Neurospora crassa OR74A: one gene and its partners. The main gene of each other region encodes a partner of the protein of the gene in region 4 in a complex. Links are inferred from orthologs where the notes say so. Each region holds a gene or a part of one and is shown on either strand. Other genes may lie near its edges. The genes, in order: NCU01601, NCU03085, NCU09512, NCU07683 and NCU03766.

Evidence for each region.
Region 1: the proteins of NCU07683 (region 4) and NCU01601 are in contact, whole or in part, in a crystal structure (PDB 4M75), measured with the Saccharomyces cerevisiae proteins. The link is inferred for Neurospora crassa OR74A from reciprocal best matches to the Saccharomyces cerevisiae genes LSM4 and LSM1. Residues at the interface, in NP_011037.3 of Saccharomyces cerevisiae: Met1, Leu2, Pro3, Leu6, Glu18, Lys20, Trp35, Met36, Gly73, Thr74, Ile76, Lys77, Phe78, Ile79, Lys80, Leu81, Gln82, Asp83, Ile85, Ile86; in NP_012411.1 of Saccharomyces cerevisiae: Val47, Val50, Asp51, Leu58, Asp60, Arg62, Arg69, Thr70, Phe71, Asp72, Asn76, Ile78, Gln80, Arg99, Gly100, Ile101, Phe102, Met103, Ile104, Arg105, Glu107, Asn108, Ser169.
Region 2: the proteins of NCU07683 (region 4) and NCU03085 are in contact, whole or in part, in a crystal structure (PDB 4M77), measured with the Saccharomyces cerevisiae proteins. The link is inferred for Neurospora crassa OR74A from reciprocal best matches to the Saccharomyces cerevisiae genes LSM4 and LSM8. Residues at the interface, in NP_011037.3 of Saccharomyces cerevisiae: Met1, Leu2, Pro3, Leu6, Leu7, Lys20, Trp35, Met36, Gly73, Thr74, Ile76, Lys77, Phe78, Ile79, Lys80, Leu81, Gln82, Asp83, Ile85; in NP_012556.2 of Saccharomyces cerevisiae: Asn28, Gly29, Phe30, Asp31, Asn35, Phe37, Ile50, Lys52, Ala53, Gln54, Leu55, Leu56, Arg57, Ser59, Glu60.
Region 3: NCU07683 (region 4) and NCU09512 share a complex: the UniProt entries of both Saccharomyces cerevisiae proteins name them as parts of the spliceosome U4/U6-U5 tri-snRNP complex. The link is inferred for Neurospora crassa OR74A from reciprocal best matches to the Saccharomyces cerevisiae genes LSM4 and LSM3.
Region 5: NCU07683 (region 4) and NCU03766 share a complex: the UniProt entries of both Saccharomyces cerevisiae proteins name them as parts of the spliceosome U4/U6-U5 tri-snRNP complex. The link is inferred for Neurospora crassa OR74A from reciprocal best matches to the Saccharomyces cerevisiae genes LSM4 and LSM5.

What each region holds. Positions count from the first base shown.
Region 1 is NC_026502.1:2,980,352-2,984,422, forward strand, and holds NCU01601 (hypothetical protein), read right to left. Parts: upstream 2,467-4,071; 5' UTR 2,203-2,466; coding exon 2,025-2,202; intron 1,951-2,024; coding exon 1,882-1,950; intron 1,757-1,881; coding exon 1,437-1,756; 3' UTR 1,133-1,436; downstream 1-1,132. Other genes in the region: NCU01599 (hypothetical protein), read left to right, coding at 3,336-3,758, 3,830-4,071. UniProt on the Saccharomyces cerevisiae protein: Component of the cytoplasmic LSM1-LSM7 complex which is involved in mRNA degradation by activating the decapping step.
Region 2 is NC_026501.1:4,492,307-4,496,972, forward strand, and holds NCU03085 (small nuclear ribonucleoprotein Lsm8), read right to left. Parts: upstream 2,897-4,666; 5' UTR 2,417-2,896; coding exon 2,383-2,416; intron 2,226-2,382; coding exon 2,149-2,225; intron 2,043-2,148; coding exon 1,851-2,042; 3' UTR 1,369-1,850; downstream 1-1,368. Other genes in the region: NCU03084 (inosine-uridine preferring nucleoside hydrolase, variant), read left to right, coding at 66-238, 301-335, 403-1,368; NCU03086 (HpcH/HpaI aldolase/citrate lyase family protein), read left to right, coding at 3,819-4,002, 4,065-4,157, 4,215-4,240, 4,293-4,666. UniProt on the Saccharomyces cerevisiae protein: Component of the nuclear LSM2-LSM8 complex, which is involved in spliceosome assembly. The LSM2-LSM8 complex plays a role in the biogenesis of the spliceosomal U4/U6-U5 tri-snRNP complex by accelerating PRP24-mediated annealing of U4/U6 di-snRNA.
Region 3 is NC_026503.1:54,945-59,213, forward strand, and holds NCU09512 (U6 small nuclear ribonucleoprotein), read right to left. Parts: upstream 2,449-4,269; 5' UTR 2,285-2,448; coding exon 2,162-2,284; intron 2,052-2,161; coding exon 1,959-2,051; intron 1,802-1,958; coding exon 1,724-1,801; 3' UTR 1,138-1,723; downstream 1-1,137. Other genes in the region: NCU09513 (GTP-binding protein 1), read left to right, coding at 1-385, 477-832; NCU09511 (hypothetical protein), read left to right, coding at 2,868-4,269. UniProt on the Saccharomyces cerevisiae protein: Component of LSm protein complexes, which are involved in RNA processing and may function in a chaperone-like manner. Component of the cytoplasmic LSM1-LSM7 complex which is involved in mRNA degradation by activating the decapping step.
Region 4 is NC_026504.1:2,247,437-2,251,696, forward strand, and holds NCU07683 (small nuclear ribonucleoprotein), read right to left. Parts: upstream 2,257-4,260; 5' UTR 2,066-2,256; coding exon 2,063-2,065; intron 1,978-2,062; coding exon 1,837-1,977; intron 1,674-1,836; coding exon 1,623-1,673; intron 1,509-1,622; coding exon 1,311-1,508; 3' UTR 722-1,310; downstream 1-721. Other genes in the region: NCU07684 (hypothetical protein), read left to right, coding at 1-305. UniProt on the Saccharomyces cerevisiae protein: Component of LSm protein complexes, which are involved in RNA processing and may function in a chaperone-like manner. Component of the cytoplasmic LSM1-LSM7 complex which is involved in mRNA degradation by activating the decapping step.
Region 5 is NC_026505.1:2,344,868-2,348,778, reverse strand, and holds NCU03766 (small nuclear ribonucleoprotein), read right to left. Parts: upstream 2,357-3,911; 5' UTR 2,243-2,356; coding exon 2,218-2,242; intron 2,140-2,217; coding exon 2,083-2,139; intron 2,003-2,082; coding exon 1,964-2,002; intron 1,885-1,963; coding exon 1,857-1,884; intron 1,790-1,856; coding exon 1,726-1,789; intron 1,669-1,725; coding exon 1,627-1,668; 3' UTR 1,432-1,626; intron 1,356-1,431; 3' UTR 1,147-1,355; downstream 1-1,146. Other genes in the region: NCU03767 (mitochondrial chaperone bcs1), read left to right, coding at 1-1,132; NCU03765 (3'-5' exonuclease/helicase), read left to right, coding at 2,974-3,122, 3,200-3,911. UniProt on the Saccharomyces cerevisiae protein: Component of LSm protein complexes, which are involved in RNA processing and may function in a chaperone-like manner. Component of the cytoplasmic LSM1-LSM7 complex which is involved in mRNA degradation by activating the decapping step.

The DNA of each region.
Region 1 (4,071 bases), on a different chromosome or scaffold from region 4:
TGGACGGCACTCCCGGTCTCGCTAGAGCAGCCACGCACATGGCAAACAACTCCTCTTACCCATGGGGCTGTTCATCTCCGAGGCTTCCTTTGTGCGGGACTATCCGTACAGCTGTCGTTGGGTGGTCCATCGTTCATGTTTGAAAACACATGTTGCACCGGGATGGTGGAAGATTCATCTCGAGGTTCTCCCACCGAGCTTCTTCGTTCACAACGACGCCAATGCACCCCGCAATCAACGACCTTGGGGACAACGGCGACCGGAGACAATGAGAAATAGCTAAATGTCTTTTATGTGTCCAACTTTACCTTCTCCCGGACAGCTATTCCCCTCACTTTCCCCCAGACAATCGGGTGGACAGGCCAATAATGGCTTCACCATGTCGACGATCCATGATTTGCCCTAGGGTGGTGCCCGATTAGATGAGGATGAGGAGAAGGGCCCGCCAAGATTAAGTAACTTGCCCCAAGCAAGTTGAAACTGCGCCGATAAGTATATCATAAAGGTTTGCCTAGGACAATGACCGTGAGATAGCCCAAGTGAGCTTGCACCCGGAATTGTGGCATCTTACCCTCCTTCTTCTTTCTTGCGTTTGCAGACCTTCAAGCCCTACGCCACGCCCTCGACATGGGGCTGGTACAACTTCAGTTTACCCACCACGCCCAACCATACATTCATGGACGACTTCACAGATTTATAGTGGTGGACTTACGAAAGACCTAGTGATGGCCTACAGCCAGCCCAACCCAGCCCACAACGACATCTCCCAGCGGCTTATACAGAACCCTCAGTGGATCAACGTGAGGTACATTGGATTTCCCTATTCCGACCGAAACAAGTTCAACCCCCCCTTTGTTGGCATGTGGAACGCAACCCCCGCAGCAGGTGGTTGAGTACTTGCTGCATATCATCTTTCAGTTTGATGATGCTGGGTAATCGGTTGGTTGGTCATGAGTGCCAACGCCTCATTTCCCGAGCTCGGCGTAGTTATCGATGATGGCGGGTGGGTGGGAGGATGTTGAAGTCGATGGGTTTGTGCCGGCTATGTGACTAGTCCTAGGAAAGAATGTTAGTCGTGGATATCTCTCTGGGCTATCCTTTCCCAACATGATCATAGTCAGTAGTGGCCAGGTTCGATTCGAGGCAATCCATCGAATTGCTAATTTTCTAACGGTAAAATACACTTGGTGTCTTCTTGGGCCGACCTTGGTGTAAGGCTTCATGCGGTCTTCCATTCGTATGAAGTCGCAGCTGAGTGGATAGCATTTCACAATATTCTGCTTCCAATCGCTCATGCCATTCCCTCCTTCGACACTCCCTTTCCACTTCAGGGGTATGTAGGTATAAATCATAACAAGTTAAAGTTTTGGTCGTCTCTCCTCCCGTCTCTTTCTTTCCGTCCCATTTGTAAAATTTGAGGGTGATTCATATATCATTCACAGAAGCGCCTCGCCTACGTTCTCCCCTTCGAAGCCAATGGTGGAAAGCTTCTTGATCTTGCGCTTCTCCTTGGCCTTCTCCTCGGCCTTTTTCTGCTTGGCTAGTGTCTGCACCAGTTCGAGGTCGGCAGGGTCGTAGCCCGGGGGCGGGTCGTCGTCGCGGTCAAGGTCGATCTCGCCCATGAGGAGAACGTTCTCGCCGCGAACAACGAAGAGGCCCCGGTCGACGTCGGCGTAGAGCCCCCTGGTCTGGGTGGGTGACTGCGTGCCTGGAGGCACGAATATCCTCTCCTTTGTCTGTTGTAGTACTAGGTTGGCTAGTATGGTGGGAAAAAAGTGGATTCGCGTTAACACAGCTACCTCTTCATACTCGTGCTCGTTCGTGCGTGCGTGTATAGGTGGTCATGTGTTGTAAGAGAGAGGTAGGTTCATGGAGGCATACCAAACTGATCCCAACTGCGGAGGATGCCCGTGAGCTTTCGTCCGTCGCGCAATGCTACCATTAGCTTCTCTGTTGGTACCCCGCCGCTCGTGTCAGCCTAGTTCCTCCCGTCCAAAAGATATGTCCACAATATTGCTTCTTACTATCGGTCAGGTCGAGGAGTTGGGCAGCTGTGGTGAACATTTGCGCGGGCAACTGCTGGGGCTGGGGAGGACGGCCGCCTCCTAGGAGTCCCGGCGGGGGCATGCCGGGTCCAGGCTGGCCGGGGCCCTGAGGGAAGGGCGGCGGTGGGGGTTGATCGTTTATCGAGAGGTGTTCCATGGTTGTGTGCTGAAGATGGCCTATGTCTTCTAGTCCATCTGTAAAGTTTCGGGGGGTGTCTTCAAGGTTGTTGAATGGGAAGCGGGATGCAATGATGCGATGGGACAGCTGCCCGCCCTGACGTTGCCTGCCCGCACATACTACTACCTACCTACTGCGTACATACCTACCTTAGTACATAGCTGCTGCCCTGGGCTGCCCTGGGCTTGCTCCGCTGTTTGTGCAGTTCACCCCACTTTCACGGTGAGAGGCAGCGACGAGAAGTGTGTTCCTTGAAGGACAGCCCGAGTCGCACAGATCTTTTTACCACTCTACTTACACGGCTCCTGCCATAAGCTTTTAGTGGATGATTCCAGCTTCCTTCCGGCAGGCAATTTGCGTATATGTACATGATACAAGTCAGCCACATCGCAGGTTGAGCCACAAGACGGAGCGAATCTCAGCTTTATCCACTTCAGCAATCAGCTCGGCTCATACAAACCTATCGCTGCTTCCTGCGGCAGACTGCTCTCGCTTAGGTACAGCGCCTGTGCGGTGGAGCTTCCATGATCACCGGACTGTATGTCTAGTCAGTAAACACTGCCAGGGCAAGGTGAAACCAAGCGCTGTGCAGCAACCTACAGTATTATTCAACCCGGTGGCCGGACAATGAGCCGACGGGACCTGCACTGACCTCCCTGTGCTGGTTTGCCTGTACCTACCTAGGTAGTGCCGCACTGCATTCTCCGGTCCTTCTGCTTCGGCTCAACCTGCTGTCAACCCCATTTCATTCTGCCACTCCATATTTCTCCATCTGCACCATACGTACCCTCGCTGTCGACAATTATACACAAAAGATCCCATGAGGACTATGTCCAAACCCGCTTCGACCACCAGAAGCCGTTCCTTTTCTCTCGCCCTTGCGCTGTAACCATTCTGCGCGCCCGTCCATCGGCGGACGAGGGCAGCTCTCTTCCCGTCGTCCAGTCGACTTTGACTTACTCGTCCTCTAGCCTCAAATCTCTGCACTGGGGCTCTCTTTTTTCCGCCCACCAGCCTCGCCTTGAGGTTTGCCTCGCCTGGTCTTACCTGGTCCGGATACAATAAAAAAGCAGGCAACCAAGAAACATATTTACGAGGACCCCCCTTTCGCCATGGCTTCTACCGACGTTACCATGGCCGACGCACCTTCCGGGCGGCCTGATCGCCGCTCCAACGCTTCTCCTCCTCCCGGTCAGTCACAGTCACAGTCTAAGAGAGACAAGCGACGCCAAATGCTTGCCGAACGCATTGCAACCCTTTCCGACAAATGGAGCAAGGACAGAGACCAGGCCTTTCGCGAACAACTACAAAAGATTCAGATTGACACCAGTCTGGTCATGCGAGTCGACCCCTATGTCGATCGACCTTTGGACAGCTTCGAAGAGGATCAGAGACGACTCAACCAGCTCAATGGCGCCGACTCCGACGGTGGTCCACGATCCCTCCTTGACATGGCTGGCCCCAAATTTGCCAAGTGGATGGAGAACGTACAGGATCTTGCAGAGCAACGCGATTATGCTCTCACCAAATTTAAAGTACGTCTCCCGATCATAACCGTTCAACGCTCCGCCAGTCAAAGTGCCAATGCTGACTCTTGGTTCCGCAGTTTGACTACGAGAAGAAGATCGCCGAATACCTCAATACGCATGCCTATAAGACGGAGCTTGCGAACAGAGAACACAAGGCGCTTGCCTCGACCCTCCGCGACCGACTGATCAACATCATCACTTCGAAAAAATACCGGCTCAACAAGGAGAAGGAGGCCCTCGAGATTGCCGATGCGTCCGCACTCCTCTTACACCCCAACCAATTCAGCATCACAAACCCAGCCAGCCCCGGAGGCACACA
Region 2 (4,666 bases), on a different chromosome or scaffold from region 4:
AAAATCCCGGTCCGGGTAGCGGCAGCTTTTGTCTGACCTCAAGTTCCTTTCTTCCCGTCCCGCAGCTGTCTCCGCAACGTCGTGGCAACGTTCCACGTGCTGGAAAAAGAGATGAAGTGGCGCGAGGAGACAGGCAAGAGCACTCGCGGCTTCGGTGCCCTCAACACCCATAAACCCATTGTCGCCGTTGGTCCGGAGCACGCGCTGGAGGATGAGATCCTCGCGGCCGACCACTTCCGTAAGACAGACTGAGACCCCCACCGCTTTTCCCTCAGAAACAAAGCAGTTAACAAATTGCAGATGGTGCCGACGGTTTACATGGTGTCCACGAGAAGGTAAGTGAACTCCGAGGACTGCGTTGCGTTTCTTGTCATGGTACGTTTGACCTGACCACCGCCCCAGCAACCTCATCTTTCCCCCGCCGACACCTGGCGCTCTCTATTCAGCGACGAAGAGCCCCAGGGTGAAAAAGTCGAGCCTCCTTCGTACTCCAAGTACTTCACCCCAAGCAAGGCTCCAGCGCACAAGGAGATTCTCCGTGTCCTGAAGGAATCGCCCGAGAACACCGTCACCGTCGTTGCCGTTGGTCCCCTGACAAACGTGGCGCTGGCCGCTGCTGAGGACCCCGAAACCTTCCTGCGCGCCAAGGAGCTGGTTGTCATGGGTGGTGCCGTAAACGTCGAGGGCAACGTGACCCCCGTCGCCGAGTTCAACTGCTTCGCCGATACCGTTGCCGCCGCCCGCGTCTACGCCCTGACCTCGCCCAACCCGAGCTCGACCATGCCCCCTGTCATCCACGGCAAATCTTTTTTGCCCCCTTACCCCGCCAAGCTTTCCAAGCAGCTTAAGCTGACCCTTTTCCCTCTTGATATCACCACCCCGCTCGAGCTGAGGAAAAAGTACTTCTACGAGACCATCCAGCCGATCACCAAGTCCGGCAGCCCGCTTGCGCTGTGGATCGAGACCTTCATGACAGGCATCTTCAACAAAGTCGAAGCCATGCTTGGCGACGGCAGTGAGCCCGGTCTGTCCCTCCATGACCCGGCATGCATTTGGTACATGTTGACCCAGGATGACCCCGCATGGGAACCCGTGGCGAAGCCGGAAGATATTAGAATTGAGACCTCCGGCCAATGGACCAGGGGCATGCATGTCATCGACAGACGACAGAGGGCGAAGCCGGGTGAGCAGTCAAGCAAGGTGGAGACGCATCCGTCGGATCCTCTGGATGCGACCACCTTTGACGATGTCCCCGGAGACGACATGGGCTGGCTAAGCGTGAACAAGGGAAACAGAATTAACAGGATGGTCAAGACCCCCGGCGACGAGAAGTTTGCCGCCATCTTGATGGATAGACTCTTTGGTTGAACCTGCCGGCAGCACTTGTTGATTTTCTTCTTCTTTTGTATATAGAAAGCGAATCTATTCCACGCGGAGTTTTTGAGATCTGGGGTATCTGAAATCAATATTCGCTGGGTTCCTTAAACCGAGAGCTGGACCTGCCCGTGACACCTTGTTTTATTTTTTCTTCGTCGGTCAGCATAAGTCTTAACGGGGAAGTAAGAGGGGAAGAAAGATCGTCGATTGGGCATACCAATGTAGTAAAAGAAAACCTGTAGCTCCGCGTGTCAAATGCTAATGATGCAACCAAATCTTGTGTGCCACGCACATTATCCACCGGTGTTGTCCTTTATGTCAACTGCCCGCGACCGCCACACCGTTCGACTTTTGTCTTTTTTCCCCTTGGTTTCCTTCTCCTGCCTCCTCTTCTTGGTTTTGAGGGAGCGTGACACCATGCTTCACGCGCTCAGGTATAGCGCAGAAACGGTTCAATGGTTCGGTGGTATATTCTAGTGCTTTGTCGTCCCAATCGTAGCCCCCTTGACTTTGGTCCAGTCTATGCTCTCGTCCAGCGGCTCATCAACCAACCCAACCAGGCAGACCGTGTCCCCGCGAATCATGTGCGTTCCCAGCTCGATCTCGGCCGAGGGCTCGTCATCATCGGGGGAGCGAATGACTCGTTCAACTGCTCTTTGTAGGAACTAGTTTGTTGGAGGGTTAGTTGTCGTTCGCGATATGCTTTGTTTTGTTTATCAGGTGGCAGAGGAACTGTATCGAAGTATGGATTGGGAGGGAGCATATACTGACCACATTCGTGCTCATGTCTACCGAGATCAGTGTGCCTACTAAGGTGCGGCCATCGACTGTAATTATGCAAACCTTTTCTAAAGTAACGAAAGATGGATCTGTTAGCTTTCTGGTCTTGCGAATATCCTTTAACTTTGGGATGCCGTGACCAATTGATCTTGTGACCGAAGCAATGGAGGAAAGAGGAAGAGGGGTCGAAAAAGCCGAAGGGCTCAGGTAGAAGGGTAGACCAACTGTTGAGGTACGAATTTACCAAGCCCGCCGACATGGTGACGGATGAGTAGATGCTATTACTGTAGTCTTTGTGTGTTTTCTCGTACCGGCAATGCGCGGGCCCAAGACCGCGGTGATAAGCAAAGTATCACGTAAAGCCCACGGTCTAACTTGAAGAGTATTGATTCAAGCGAAACACGTGGTTGCAGACAGAAAGTCGTCGGTTCAACTCGAGGGCAATTTGTTCGCTTCGTGTGATCTTGGTAAGCCCGGCCGGATGGGGTCGTTTGGTCGTTCGTCGCTTCGAATGGGGCAATTGGTTCGTGGTTATTGATGTTTTCGTTTCTCGTTGACCGATCGCGAAAGAGGAATACAACCTGGTCGGCGCGCCGCGTCAAAGAAGAATAGTGGGTACGTAATGCTGGCGGGGAGGGATGTGGTTAAATCGTGGGGATGGGACAAGAACGTCGCCGTTGAAGCTGGAGCTTCTCTTGTTCTTCCGTAGAATCGCCAAGCCCAGATCACTGACGACGGCTCACGGCAGACAACGTACCAGCACTGTGGTGAAGGCTGGAGCTTCTGAAGCGGATCCATTCTCCACTCAATTGCCTGCCGCAAAAGCGACGCTCACCCATCAGCTTGCCCCTTTTCATTCGGGAGGGTTGCTTTGTTTACTTTTATCCGCTTTGGGGTGTCAATGCAGCCCTCAACTGTTTTCGGTTGCTGCTTGAATAATTGCCTTCATCATCGTATGGTCTACCATCAGAAATGCAGAGCTTTCTCCTCCTGGAGCTTCTCGTCGCTGACTTGCGGCAGTCTCAAAGAGCCCTATGAAATTCTGTGGAAGCTTATACGTATAGCAGGGCCAAGATGCGGATGTCAACGTCCACCATGGCTTGAAGGACTTCCATGAGACCATTCAAGCCCATTGAACCTGCCGTTCCCGTGACTCGGAAAGTTTGAACATGTCAATAATCCGAATACCGGCAGAGGTTGTGGTGTCTCCAGTCAGAACAGCCTAGGTAGAACCGAATGCGGAGGGAGATACAGACGCGAACCCCGCAGTAGGAGCCCCGCCCTACTGTGTATCTCTTGGACGAAGGCAGGGGACGAACATCTCCCGAAGGTGTACCAAATTGGCCAGCAATTGAACTTGTTCACCCAACGCAGCCAGTACATTTCCTCGCCATCTGCCGTCAGGTTATTACAGTTGACCTCGAGTATGTGGCGGCGGGACCTTGGTTCGGAGCTGCACATCAACTTTGAAATCATAGTGTGTACTGTGTGTTATCGGATTTGCTTTAAAAGAGTTCGGGTTGACTTAGTCCGAGCTTCCACCTGCATCCCCACTGACTTGGCATGCCTTTCCTCCCCTTCGTACGTTAAAACTCCTGAAGCATCATATCTCTTCACTGAACAAAGTCGTTCACGTCACTCCGCTTCACCAACTCCGTACAATGTCTTCCGGTAACCCAACTTCCAAGATGCTGGCGGCCAATTCGTTGAAGCAAATCTTCACCCAGGAAAGCCGCCCTGCTATGGGTGTCTGGCAGATGCTACCCGGGGCCAATATCTCGAGGATTCTCGCTCGATCGGGGGCTGACTGGGTAATGGTTGACTGCGAGCATGGAAACATCGACGGTAGGTAACCCGTAATACGGTGGTGAATGATGGGGCTTGTTGAGCTGAATGATATTGGTCAGATGCTGCGATGCACGAAGCAGTTCCGGCCATTGCTGCCCTGGGCGTTTCTCCTATTGTCCGGATCCCAGACCTTCAGCCATCGATGGTCAAGCGTGAGTGCCATTCGTATTGCCTTATCACTCAGACGGTTACTGATGTACCCTTTACAGGAGCGTTGGATAGTGGTGCGCATGGAGTGAGTGTATAAGAGTATCCTGTGTTGGAGACATTTTTCTGACGTGCTCCAGATCCTTGCGCCGCTCATCAGGACTGTTGAGGATGTCAAAAACTTGGTTACCGCGGCAAAGTTCCCACCCGAAGGCAAGAGAGGGTTTGGATCACCCATCGCTATGCAAAACTTCAACCCCATGCCAACCTTCACCGAATACCTCCAGCAAGCGAACGAGAGTCTCTTGACCATGGTGCAGATCGAGACACAGGAAGCCTTGGACTGTGTTGAAGAGATAGCTCCGCTTGTGGATGTCATCTTTATTGGTCCTTTTGACTTGGGTAACAATATCGGCCACCCGATTATCGAGGGAAAGATGGATCCGGAGCTAGATGAGGCTATTGACAGGATCCTGAAGGCTGCCGTAACGGCAGGCAAAAAGTGCGGCATCTT
Region 3 (4,269 bases), on a different chromosome or scaffold from region 4:
GGCGAGAACTTGAGCTTGGTCCGTTCGTTCCTCAACATCTTGCCGCACCATGGACGGTACGACGCCGACGCGCCTTTCGAGTTTCATGTCAATGACACTTTTAGCGTCCCCCACGTCGGCACGGTCGTCTCGGGAATCGTCAAGTCGGGGGTCATCCATGCGGGTGATGAGGTTTACCTGGGGCCGGATGGCTTGGGCAAGTTCACGACCACGGCCATCAGGTCGATTGAGCGGAAGAGGATAGGCGTCCCGGCGGCGAGCGCGGGACAGTCAGCCAGCTTCGCGTTGAAGAGGGTCAAGAGAAAGGACGTTCGTAAGGGAATGGTGGTGCTCTCCAAGACTGAAAGTGGACCGCCGAAGGTGTATCGGGAGTTCATTGCTGAAGGTAAGTAAACACAGCGCTTCCTTTTGTCTTTACTTTCCTCTGCCCCTTGGTGCCATTCAAAAAATTCTGTATGTATCCTAACGTGCACTAGTCCTCATCCTCTCCCACGCAACCACCATCAAAACCAAATACCAGGCCATGCTTCATGTCGGCCCCGTCTCCCAGACATGCGCCATCATCGACGTTGATCGTCCGTTTATCAGGACCGGCGATCGGGCTACCGTCGCGTTTCGGTTTGTCCAGAGACCCGAATACCTAGTCCCGGGAGACAGACTTCTCTTCAGAGAAGGCAGAACCAAGGGGTTGGGTATCGTCAAGAGTGTGGGGTATGATCCTGAACGGCCGTTGGGCGGGGTTAATGTAGGTGAAGGGGGTGATAAGGTGGCTGCGGGCGTTGAAGATGTCAAACATGAGGGTGGCGGTAACGAGGTGAAGGTTGGTGCTTAGTGACCTGGCACCTGGTGCTGATTTGGCGTTGGGCAGATGATGTTGTGATGACCCAAGTTGGGGGCCGCGTTACCTTTTTTTCTTTATACTTTCTTTGATGCATGGCCTCATCTCCTCGTTTTGATGGCTCATATACGGAGCGGCGCAGTCAGGGCACAGTACAGAACTAGTGGTGACCCACTACTTGCAGATATTCAAGTAGTAGTAGGAGTAGTAGTAGTAGTAGTATCATGGACGATATGGCTTTTGTATGTGTCGGTGGAAGATGAGTGACCTACAGGTATTCTCAAATGAACATATGAAAATTCTTGAGCAACGTACTGTATTCTTTGTACGAGCGATCCTTTTCAGCCTCCTCAGGAGGAAGGAGATTGCCTGGCTATCAATGCTCCATGGCCGGGAATAACAATGGTATATCTGTGCCGTGATCTATCTTTCGGCTCTAACGACAAACGATGAACGTGATGTGATGACGGTGATAGTCACATCTCAAGCCAACTTCTCTCCTTGTATCTCTCTCCTATCCTCTTCCCGAAGCTTGGTTACCGGTTTCCTTTGTAAGCGCCGCCCCTCTCGACCTTGAGGTAGCCACCACCTAGGTAGGTAGGCTTAGCGACGACCCATGTCCAACTCCCACTGAGACAAACCTTCGGCTGCTGACTGTCCAGAACCCTCCGCCGTTGCCGTTTCCTTTCCCTTCTCTTCCAAATGCTCCTCCTCTTCCCTATCTACCCCCTCCCAAAACTGCGCCTCATCCGCCACGTGCAATAAGTTCCACCTGCCGATGGGCAACCGGTCCTGGCCAAGCGGGCCACCGGAGAAGGGTTTGATGCCGTAGCGGTGGCGGAAATCGTGCTCGTCAACTGGTCGCTCCACATACACGGCCTCTTCTCAAGAACGGGTAAAGGGCGAGATGAGCACGACGGAATCGCCGCGAACGAAGAGCATTTCGGACTTGCGGGAGATGGTCTGCCTTTTTGTTAGTATATGAGAGTGACGGAAAGGGAAAGCAAAAAAGACAAACGAGGTATGAGAAGGAAAGGGGAAGGAGGGTGGGTATAATGGGAAAGGGGTGAGAGGTGGTTTGACGAGAGAGTGGCGGTGGGTAAGTGAAAAGATGGCATACCTTCAGGTCATCCTCCTCGGTATCTTCATCATCCACGACGTAAATGGTCTCTTCGACTTCCCCGAGGACAAGGTTGCAATGGGAGTCGTAGGCCTACATCACAGTATCCGAGTTAGCAATGAGTTCGGGTGGTGGTGAGTGAGGCGTAACGGGAAAGATGTGACGACTGAAAAGGGGATATGTAAACATAAGAGTGGACTTACGTGCAGACGGCCCTTGAGCTCCCGATCACCTCTCAGCTTGACGCAGACAACCTCGTCAAGCAAAAGGCGGACGAGGTCCATGGGCTCGGAAACAGAGCCGGCATCTTCTACTGCGTCGGCCATTTTGTGTGATGTGTGATATCAAAAGAGCCAAAAATAAATAACGAGTGAAGAGAGAGAAAAAAAAATGAAGTTGGCGTTGTGTTCCTGTTGTTGATGGCGGGGACCTCAGCTGCAGCGCCCTGGAACGATGATGAGTGAGTCCAGTGCCAGTGACGGACGGCGGGGGGTTTCCATGCCTGCCCGATTGGAAGCGCTCGCTTCGGTGCGAATTGAGGTCAGTGCCAGCTGGTCGCATGCCAAGAGCAACTGAAGCAGCCCGACGCACTGACCGCTTCCGAAGTGGAAGCTTGACCGGTTCTTAAACGCTTATGCCAGAGCTTCGGCTGGGCAAGGTCTTGGCAGGAACAGGCGCCCAAAGTGACAACAGGCCTTCCCCGGATTTGCAAAGGCGGGCATCGCGAGATCCATCGCACTTCTCCTCTTTGAGTTAGCGGGGTTGACTTACACCTCGACTTCAGTTAGTACCTAGGCACGCCCACCAGGGCACTCAGCTCCCCTTCAACACCACGGCCGAGCTTCAATTGCGGACGAAAGTCGCCAATGGGGGTGGTGTACAACGCCGTCAACCCCAATTTGCAACCCAATGGCTGCCCTTCTCTCCTGTCGTGGGGTTCGAGTTCCTTCTCCGAAATCTCGACGACTAGCCTCCGCCGTCAACAAGCTCCAGAAGCTCCCCCATTCTACGACCCAAACAGCAAAACCCATCTCAGCAATTCCATACCCAGGCAACTTTGCCCACCATGGATTCGGTCACCAACTTGACGGACCTCGACAGCCCCTCGAGCAAGATGAGCTCCTCCTCCTCCGAACCCTTCTCGCAAGACCCGTCGTCGCAAAGAAGCCACCTGTGACAAAACGGTCGCCTTGGATAGACGGCTTCACCGCGGCCTTCAGACAACCCCACAAAATGCTCACTTATTTCAAGGAGAACAAACTCGAGATCCTTCAACTTCCACCAACAGCATTCAGCGAACTTCTCCGCTCCGTTGACCCCGTCGAAGCCGTTCACAAAGACCAAGATCCGTTAGGAGACATATGGGTCGACCCAGCCATGGCCGATTGGTCCCCTTTGGGGGCTCTGGTCAATAATTACGGCGTCAGAAAAAGAAACACCGACCTTTACCCCCTAGTTCACGAAGCTGCCTTTCGTCGATTCCGCTCGGGTTCTCCCCTTCTTTTGTCCGACTACAAAGTCCTGCTGCGATGCGCCGGATCGATTTCGGACCCCCTCTTGGCTCGCAAGATCTGGTTCCACATGAACGTCTCTGAAAAGATGTGGGAGCGCCAGACGGACCTGTATGCCGAATTTCTCAAGGCCCGGTTCTTGACGGAACCGTTGTATACCCAACACAACCGGCATGACTTCCGCGTCAAGCCTGTAAACCTCTTTCCCGAGCAGCGGTTTCTGCCGTACTTCACGCCTGACAACTTGTCTCAGCTGCGACAGATGAACTTTGACAAGACCAACAAGCGGCTGGACAGGTTTGGGCAGAATCCTGGCGCAGAGCACAAGGTGGATTATCTGATGAGGATGTTACGGCGGACTTCACCCGTCGATCTCGTCTTTGGCACCGCGCGAAACCGGTTACATCTACTGTCAGAAGAGTTCGTCTGCGCTGCTCTCATCGCCTACGCCAGGACAGGGGTAATGGAAGACGTACAGTCCGTTCTATACTTTAACTACAAGATTGATGTCTCTGGCTCCATCGAAACCGGCGACTTGAAGATCACCGGCGGGCGGCGAGACTTTCTGCCTGGCTCGCCCATGGCTCCTACCACCCGTCTTTTGCAGACAATCGCCACCTGTTATGGGTCGAACGGCATGATAGCCATGGCGTGCAAGATGCTCGACCACGTTTCTGCCGTGTACCGCCTTTCGATTCCCCCATCAGTCTGGTTCGAACTGCTTGAATGGGCCTACATTCACACCTCTCCTCGGGCGGCAAAAGAGTGGAAGATCGTTTCGATCCCCGGCCGCCGACTAC
Region 4 (4,260 bases):
TAGCGCCCTTGGCGAGGAATTCTTCGAGGCGCATGTGGATCAGTCACCCGACTTTGGTCCAGCTGCTCAAGCGCTGCTTTAACGAGATGGATCCCAGAGCGTGGGCAGTTGTTGATGTGGCCAGGGAGAGGAAGATCGACCTCGAGATTGAGATCAAGAAGTTGCTTGCCGAGATGCCAAAGGAGACAGTTGTGTCGGATCAAAGAGTGCAAGAAGAGACCACGATGATGGGCGCCGTGCGTCCAGCGTATGAAGAGGCTTTGGATGCTGGCGATCTCAAAACATCGAGCGCATCTGCAGCTTGATAAAGAAAAGAAAAAAGAGAAAAAAAAAAGAAGAATTACTGAAATACTCAAAAGCATCGGAATGGAGATTATATAACTAGTTCAATGGCTTGCTAGAATCTGGTAGTGGTCATTATAAGAGAATCAGGCGAGTGAACAAATCAACTAAAACAACTCACAAGGTTGTATAGTGTAGCGGTTATCACTCCGGATTCTGATTTCCTTCAGAACATTCCGGCAACCCCGGTTCGATTCCGGGTACGACCTCAACTTTTGAGTTTTTTCCTCTAATTTCTTTTTTTTTCTTCCTTCTTTCTTCTTTTTCTTCTTTTTTTTTTTTTTTTTTTTTTTTTTTTTTGGAGTAACTCCTTCCATAGTTGTAGCCGCTCCGTACCACCTGTTTCCTTGCCATGGGCAATTATTTCGTTGCCTCAAAAGCTGCAACAAGTCGCCCGCGAAGTGCATCATTTTTGTGTGACATGGAGGTCTCAGGACGCCGCCAGTTTTGTAATCCTTTCAATGCTTGTTGATAACGGAAAAGAATCTCTCAAATGACGATAATGCGATACAATGTGCCTTTTGTGTTAGGTGCAAGAGAAAATCAACCAGGAACTTCAAGCTTGGGTATCTTTTGCTTTAAAATAGTCATATCCTTCGTGCCGTAAATTCCATGCTGATGCATCGAACACCTAGTCCGGTCTATGTGTCCGAGCCAGGCCTCTTCCAAAAAGCCCACACGATGACTGCCCATGAACCATCATGCATGTCTGTCGCTGGAGATGGTCTTCGTGCCCCATTCAACCCCGCCTGGGTTTTGTGTGAAAGCCCATTCGGACCGTGCAAGATGCAGCCCATGTTTCTTTCTTGGCTGATGCTCTCCATCCCTTTCCTCTCACCCCTACGCACAATCGCGGCGGCCCCTCGCGCCTCTCGTTCATCGATCGTATCATTATCAAAAGGCCGTACTTCCCTACGTTGGGTGGTCGTTGCGCCTCGCTCGCTGTCCCAAGAACATGGAATTCCACCTCATGCGCCCCTGCCACGGCCGCGGCCTCCCCTGTGACCACCTCTGTCGCCCCCTCCTCGTCCGCCACGGCCGCCACGGCCGCCATAATCGCCTCTGTTCTGTCCGCCGCCGCGGCCGCCTCTGTGTCCACCGTGTTGACTGTGTTGCTGCTCCCTTGCAATGTCGATCACGTCGTCCGGTACTCGAAGATATTTGATCTGTTTGTCCCCATAACCATTAGAAACCGCTGGTCGATTGATCGTTGACTCCTTTCCTGGCAAGAGGCAAGAAGAGAGAGAAAAGGAGGGGGAGGGGACAATGTCGAGACTTACGTTGTTTCCCTTGACGTAAACCTCTGGTAACCTCACAAACTTATCGCCTTCCTATTACGTCATGTAAAGTTCGTTGGTAAGCTGCCTTGTCCCCGACATTCTCTTCGACGTGTTGGATTGCTTGTTTCATCCACTCGCTCATCATCATCATCATCACTGTGCATCATCGCTCGAACGAAGGGACGGAGGGACGGAGGTAGGAGGTAGCACTAACCGGGCTGGTCTGAACAACCTCCCTTAGCGTCAGATTCATCCATGTATCGCATTGGATCAAGTGGCCGTTGAGCGTTTCGCCGTTCTTGAGCTCAACGAGCATGGGATGGCCTTGCGCCGCGGTGAGGATGCCTAACGGTAGCTGTTTGTTGCGAGGGAGCAAAAGGTTAGTACATTTCCAAGAGGGATACCGAAGTGACGCTATATGCAATGAGAATTCGACGTACCATAGTAGTGAGTTTGGAAATCGACAGCCGTTAGTTAGGCTGCCTATTGTTGTTGCGACGGAGACCAAAAGGAGAAGTTGACGTGTTGGATGTAGTGACCAAAGGGAAGTGCGCCCGCGACGGGAAGCCTGTCCTGGCGCCGTGGCGTAGCTGGAGCTTGCCGGCCGCAACAGCTTATGGAGTAACAAATGTAGCGTGGAGCAATGACATGGTTTACCAGGATATCTGGGAGCCGAAAATCAAATACAGTCGAACCCCCTGAAACTGCATACTCCAGATTCTGCATATATGCTAGTTAGTGCATAGAATTTCCAGGTCTGAATCCGCCATTTTTGCCCAAGCCCCGCCTCCAGAAACTGCATATACGCCATTTAGTGCATGGATTTTGGCGGTCTGGATTACATGCAGTTTCAGGGGGTTCGACTGTAGCCAACCGGCAACCCGAGATACACTATACTTAGTGTACAGAAAAGGTGGGACAGCCAAAAAGGAATAATATCCCACGTATATTTGTTATCTAAAGCTTCAGAGTAGCAGTAAGTAAAAAAAAAACGGGTTCTCACTGCAATTGGAAATACTGTTATCCAGATCCAAGTAATTTCAAGAAAAGTGCGGGAGCAAAGAGACATCGAGTCAAAAAGAGTGGACGAGCTGGGAATCGAACCCAGGACCTTTCGCATGCTGTGAAACATGCTAAGCGAACGCTCTACCAACTGAGCCACACGCCCTGAATGAGTAATGCAGTGTTTGCGCTTTGCGCCCTATAGCTGGAGCTCAAAGTTAGAACTCCCCGCAGTCTTCTGTAACTCATGGGCATGTCAAGCGCCTATGTTGAATCAGTTTGCCATATCCCTTGAGGAGAGTTCCTATCAAACGACGCTTAAGCTTAGTTGAGGCTCCCGAGTTGAATATAGAAAATGATAGCCGGACTAATTGACCTCCAACATTTAAAAGTTGAATAAGAAGTCTCGGACACTAATGAGACATTAGACTTTACCTCCATATCTAGTGTATATTTGTCGTAGGTAGAGTGCGTGTTATGGTACTAGCAGACTGTAGTAATTCATTGCCAAAAAGTCACCCGCCAGTCCTTATTGCAGCTCTTGTTGAACAGTGGACTGATAAAGATAGTTTGGAACTTGAGGCTATAGCACTATCATATGTATCGTTTCGAAGGGATTTGTTGAGCCTTGTAATAAGTGGGATCTAACAAGGAAACGCATCCTGCTCTTCACTGATTTTGCTGTTTATCTCATTATCTGCCGTGTCTCCTGTCTTCTCTGAGCCCAGTGTCCTAGTGAACTCGCGCCCCTCAGAGTAACGGTAAGTGTCACAGTTTGAGGATTTCTCGCATATTGGACCGTTGATTTAATGACATGTAGAACGCCCTACACAAACCTTCTTTTTCGATGGCTCAGTTGGTTTTGACAACGCGCCCTGGCCGTGTTCATTATAGTCGAGAACAAGACCTGGTAGAAACAAGGGGGAAAGAGGATTTCACTGTGATATGTAAATGACATAAAGACAAGATTGTTCCTCAATTGTAACCAAAGTTCATATTGGCTTCCCGTCTATATAACCTTAATAACATAAATGCCGGTCAGCTCGGAGTAGAAGATGACTGGAAATAACTTTGGCTCATTGTTCTGATCTTGGTAACGGGTGTCAGCATGTGTAAAGATGTCAGTCAGAATGGAAACATAGAAAATAAATGACAGGTTCTACAGAAGTTCGCGAGCGGATACGTTCTAGGATCTCTTCCGTTCGTCTACCAAGAAGTATGACTTTACGAGTAAGATGAAAGTCTCTAGTCGTCTCATATCCTTCTTGGTGCATCAGTGCTCACTGGTAGTAGCTCTACTTTCTCGGAACACTTCCTACCATGGTGGGATGGGTTAGTTAAACCCGTGGATCGACCTGTCGAACACAGTGTTCACGAAGCTTTGGCTATGTGGTTCGTGTAGAGTACCTAACAGAGAGGTAGAACTTTCGCGCGCAACCGCAGTATTTTCGGTCTCAAGCTACGATAGTGGACGGACAAAAGGCGTGTAAGTCTTGACTATAGTAGCAAAAAGGCAACCAGACCATCAAATAAGATGACAAACAAGGTTGGAAGGACGGCAAAAAGAACAAAAGAGTGGACGAGCTGGGAATCGAACCCAGGACCTTTCGCATGCGGTAAAACATGCTAAGCGAAC
Region 5 (3,911 bases), on a different chromosome or scaffold from region 4:
CGAAAAGAATACCACTCCTGAAAAGGAGAAACAGAAACCTGCTGCCCCTGAGGGCGAAGAGAAGCCCACCTCTTCTGCAGATGATGCCAGAGAAACTGGAGAGAAAATAACGAAACAAGAATCTAGCAGCACTACTGACAAGAAGAAGAAGCCCATGACGGCCAAAGAGAAGAAGCACAAGAAAAAGCAGAAGAGGAAAAGGATGTCGAAGACGTTCGCTGCCACTACACTTCATAACCTGGACTTGGTCCGGAGACAGTACGGTCGCAGACGGCCGTCTCCGTATGACCGAGAACGGGGCATTTCGCTATCAGGTTTACTCAACGCCATCGACGGCGTTGCCTCGCATGAAGGCCGCGTGCTCATCATGACAACCAACAAGCCAGAGAAGCTAGACGAAGCACTACTTCGACCGGGCAGGGTCGACATCCAGATTGCTTTCCTCAACGCCACGCAGGAACAAGTCAGGGAGCTATTTGAGAGGATGTACGAAGCCGATGTGGTGAACCCAGCCACAGTGACATTTACCCAGGTTGGGAATAAGGTCACAGCTAGCACCACATCGGCAGCTACTACATTGCCTCCAGTCGGTCATTCTCCTCACACGGGGGTTGCGTCCCCGGATGGCACCGGCACAGGCACCGGCACCACCGCTGAGAAGGATGAAGAAAAACAACAACAGCCCCCCATAGACCCCAAGATCGTTGATCTCAAACTCCTCGACGACAACAACCTCCGCAAGTCCTCCATCAGCAGTTGCTCTAGTGACGCAACCGTCATTGGCGAAGAGGACAACGCCGCTGCTCCTCCTCTTGTTCCCATCATCACCGCCGCCGCCGCGGCGACAGCCAAAGACAAGGGGAAACAACAAGAACCAGCAGAAGAAAAGACGGAAAGTCCCGTCCCTCTCCACATTACCCCCCTAACTAGACAAGAACTCCAAAAGATCGCCAGGGAGTTTTCCCTGAGAATCCCGGCATCCCAGATCCTCAGTCCGGCGGAGATCCAGGGCTTTCTGTTGAGGCGCAAGAAGGACCCCAGAAGGGCGTTGGCGGAGGTGGACAAGTGGGTGGAGGAGCTGGTCAAGGCGAAGGAGAGTAAGAGCAAGATTTTGGATGCTAAGGCTATTTGAAGTGTGGTGGTGGTTGAATGTTGGTTTGGTAGTTATGGGTTGTGGAAGAGAGCAAGGACGGCTGGTTGGGTGGTGGGGTGGGTTTGGATATTCAATGTTGCTGGTGCTCCTAGATCAGGTGAGTTGCAACAACAGGCAGCCATTTTCTTGCTTTGTTTCTCAATTGAAGAGGTGATCCAAAAGCGCTTGGTTAAGGTTAAGAGGAACTGCTGATCGTGCTAGCCTAAGATAATTTTTTTTGGTCAAGTCGGGTCAAACAAACAGTATGAAATATGATGGAGGATTATAGTTCAACCTACCTCATGTGAGCTGTGTATGGCAGCAATTTCCTTGGAGGTGTTTTGGAATCAGTCTGAATTACCTATTATTATTGACTTCTTCTTGAAGTGACCGACAGAGGGCAAAGAAACGTCCATTCGTATTTCGTGATATGCTGATGATGATTGCTTCTTCCTAACGCGGCCATGCCTCATGTATCCTCTCAAGCCTTCAAATCAGGCAGATGCCGCAATTGGGCCTTCACCACCGGGAATCAACTGAGCACAGCTGTTAGTTGTTTGTAAACGCGAGCTTTGATGACGATGATGACCCACCATGCAGATGTTGTTGCCGTTCAACAGGATCTTCTTCAACTTGGTGTGGTTGCCGGAGTAGTCGCTGATCGAGCAGGAGTGAAGTTAGTAATGTCCTTCATGAACTACTTCCAGAGTAGGACGCGTCGTACAACTCAGTGACGTCCTCCAAAACCATGTCTATTTGAAAGTGAGTTAGCATAAGGCTCCGTGGGACGATATGAAGACAGGGGATGGTGAGGAGAGGCCCGCTACTTACTAACGTAGTCATCGAAACCAACAAGAGTGCCAGCGAACTCTGTTTTCATTCCATCATCAGTCAGCACATCCATCGATAAGTCAAAATCCAGCAGGGACAGCTAGGATGGCATAACGTGCCCTTGTCTCCCTTCATGACAACCCAGATGCGGGAACCAACACACTTGTCGATGAGCTCTGGGGAAAAAAACCACGTTAGCTGTCTTATTCTTGGATACCTAAGTAGTGGTGCCCAGCATGAGCTCTCTCACTCACCGAGAGGAAGTAATTGCGAGGCCATGTTGTATGTGGTGTGGAATGGTCGAGTCTTTAGGTAAGTCTGGATGTCGAAAGGGACGTTCAGTGGCTGTTCACTGAGCTTCGATTGTGAGGCCAACAAGGCGACAGGGCGTACGTACTAAGCTGTTGTACAGTGAAAAAAGATCAGTAATTCCCACAGTATCAGCGTGGACTCGGATTCGTTCTTGGCGCAGCTTATGCTTGTACCCATGCATATGAGAATAAACGGGGTATCTACCTAGGCTTCAGCAGCAGCAACTCGGCAGCGGCTGGACGTCGTGACAGCGCTGCTGTTGCAGTGGCAACCGAATCAATTAGTTCACATCGACCCTTCCTTGTGAACAAAGCAAACAGTTCGTTTGTGATTTCAGTATTCGGAGGCAACCAAATACGTTCGCGTTTCTGCCTGCCAGCAGCCAACGTTGCCCGTGACAAGGTATTTCTCGGTCCAATATTTGTTCAACTTGAAGTTTCAACGTCCACTCCGTCTCCGACTTCTTCTCTTGGTTCCCCCACTTTGACCGAACCAACATTCATATCAGTGCCCTGAAACCACCAAACACCTTTTCGTCTCGTTCCCCTCTGTCAGCATTCAAACGAATCGACAGGTCATGGCGCAGTTCTCTGGGCCTTGACAACCTGCAACATTACTTACTACCTACCTACCTCTACCACGCATACCTCCCACGCACTCGGCAACTTTGTGATCTGCGCTTGCCATCCATCGCTATAATGAGGTCCCCGCACCCTATACCACAAGCCATCGGCGCCGGTGCCAACGCCGTAAACAGCACCACCAGCTTGACTCTGAGGCAATGCCGGCGGCGTTTCTTTGCTTCTTCGCCCTCATCCTCGGTTCCTTCCACATCCCGTTATCCAGTGTAGGTTCACTGGCTCTTCCAGGTCCTTACTACTTCTCCGTATATTTTTGGCTGACCAGGGTTTTACACAAATCAAGACATCTTGGCGCCATGGAGAGGAAAGATCAGACGTGGAATTCAAGCCGGGGCATTACGTTTGCTGGCGATAGTCGCGGCAGCGTTGGATACCCGCAACTGCCATCTTTGGCAAGATATCACAGCGACTCTGCGGTGTCAGCAGCCTCAAACCCGGAACCTGTTCTTCCGCCCAACCACGATGGTGTCTTCAACTCCACAGGTGTACCTCAGGGAAATCCTGACGCGAATGGAACGACGTTAGACTCCCAGGGGCAGGAGTTTGTTGATGCACAGGAAGGGCTGGAGGAACAGTTCCAACTCATACTCGAGGATGGGAACGTTGAGTCGAAAGATGAGGATGCTTCTCTCAAGCCTCCGTTTACACCACTCAGCTTCACCATGTCCGAGGATCTCTTCAAGGAGGCGAAGAAGGCGGCCGAGGGCACTCCAAAGTCTTACTGGACTTACAACCTCTATCGTGGGCCCGACAAGGATGGAAACATGAACGAGAAGGTCAAGGTCCATTACTGCAGAAGTGCGACCACCACTGAGAGGGTCTTGAAGCAGTACTTCATGGATGAGAAGATTCTCGGTCTTGACTTGGAATGGGAAATCAGCGCAAAGGAGAGCCACGGCCCGAGGCAAAACGTGTCGGTTATCCAGATTGCTTCGGAGAAGCGTATTGGAATCTTTCACATTTCGCTCTATCCGAGGAAGGATGAGCTTGCTTCT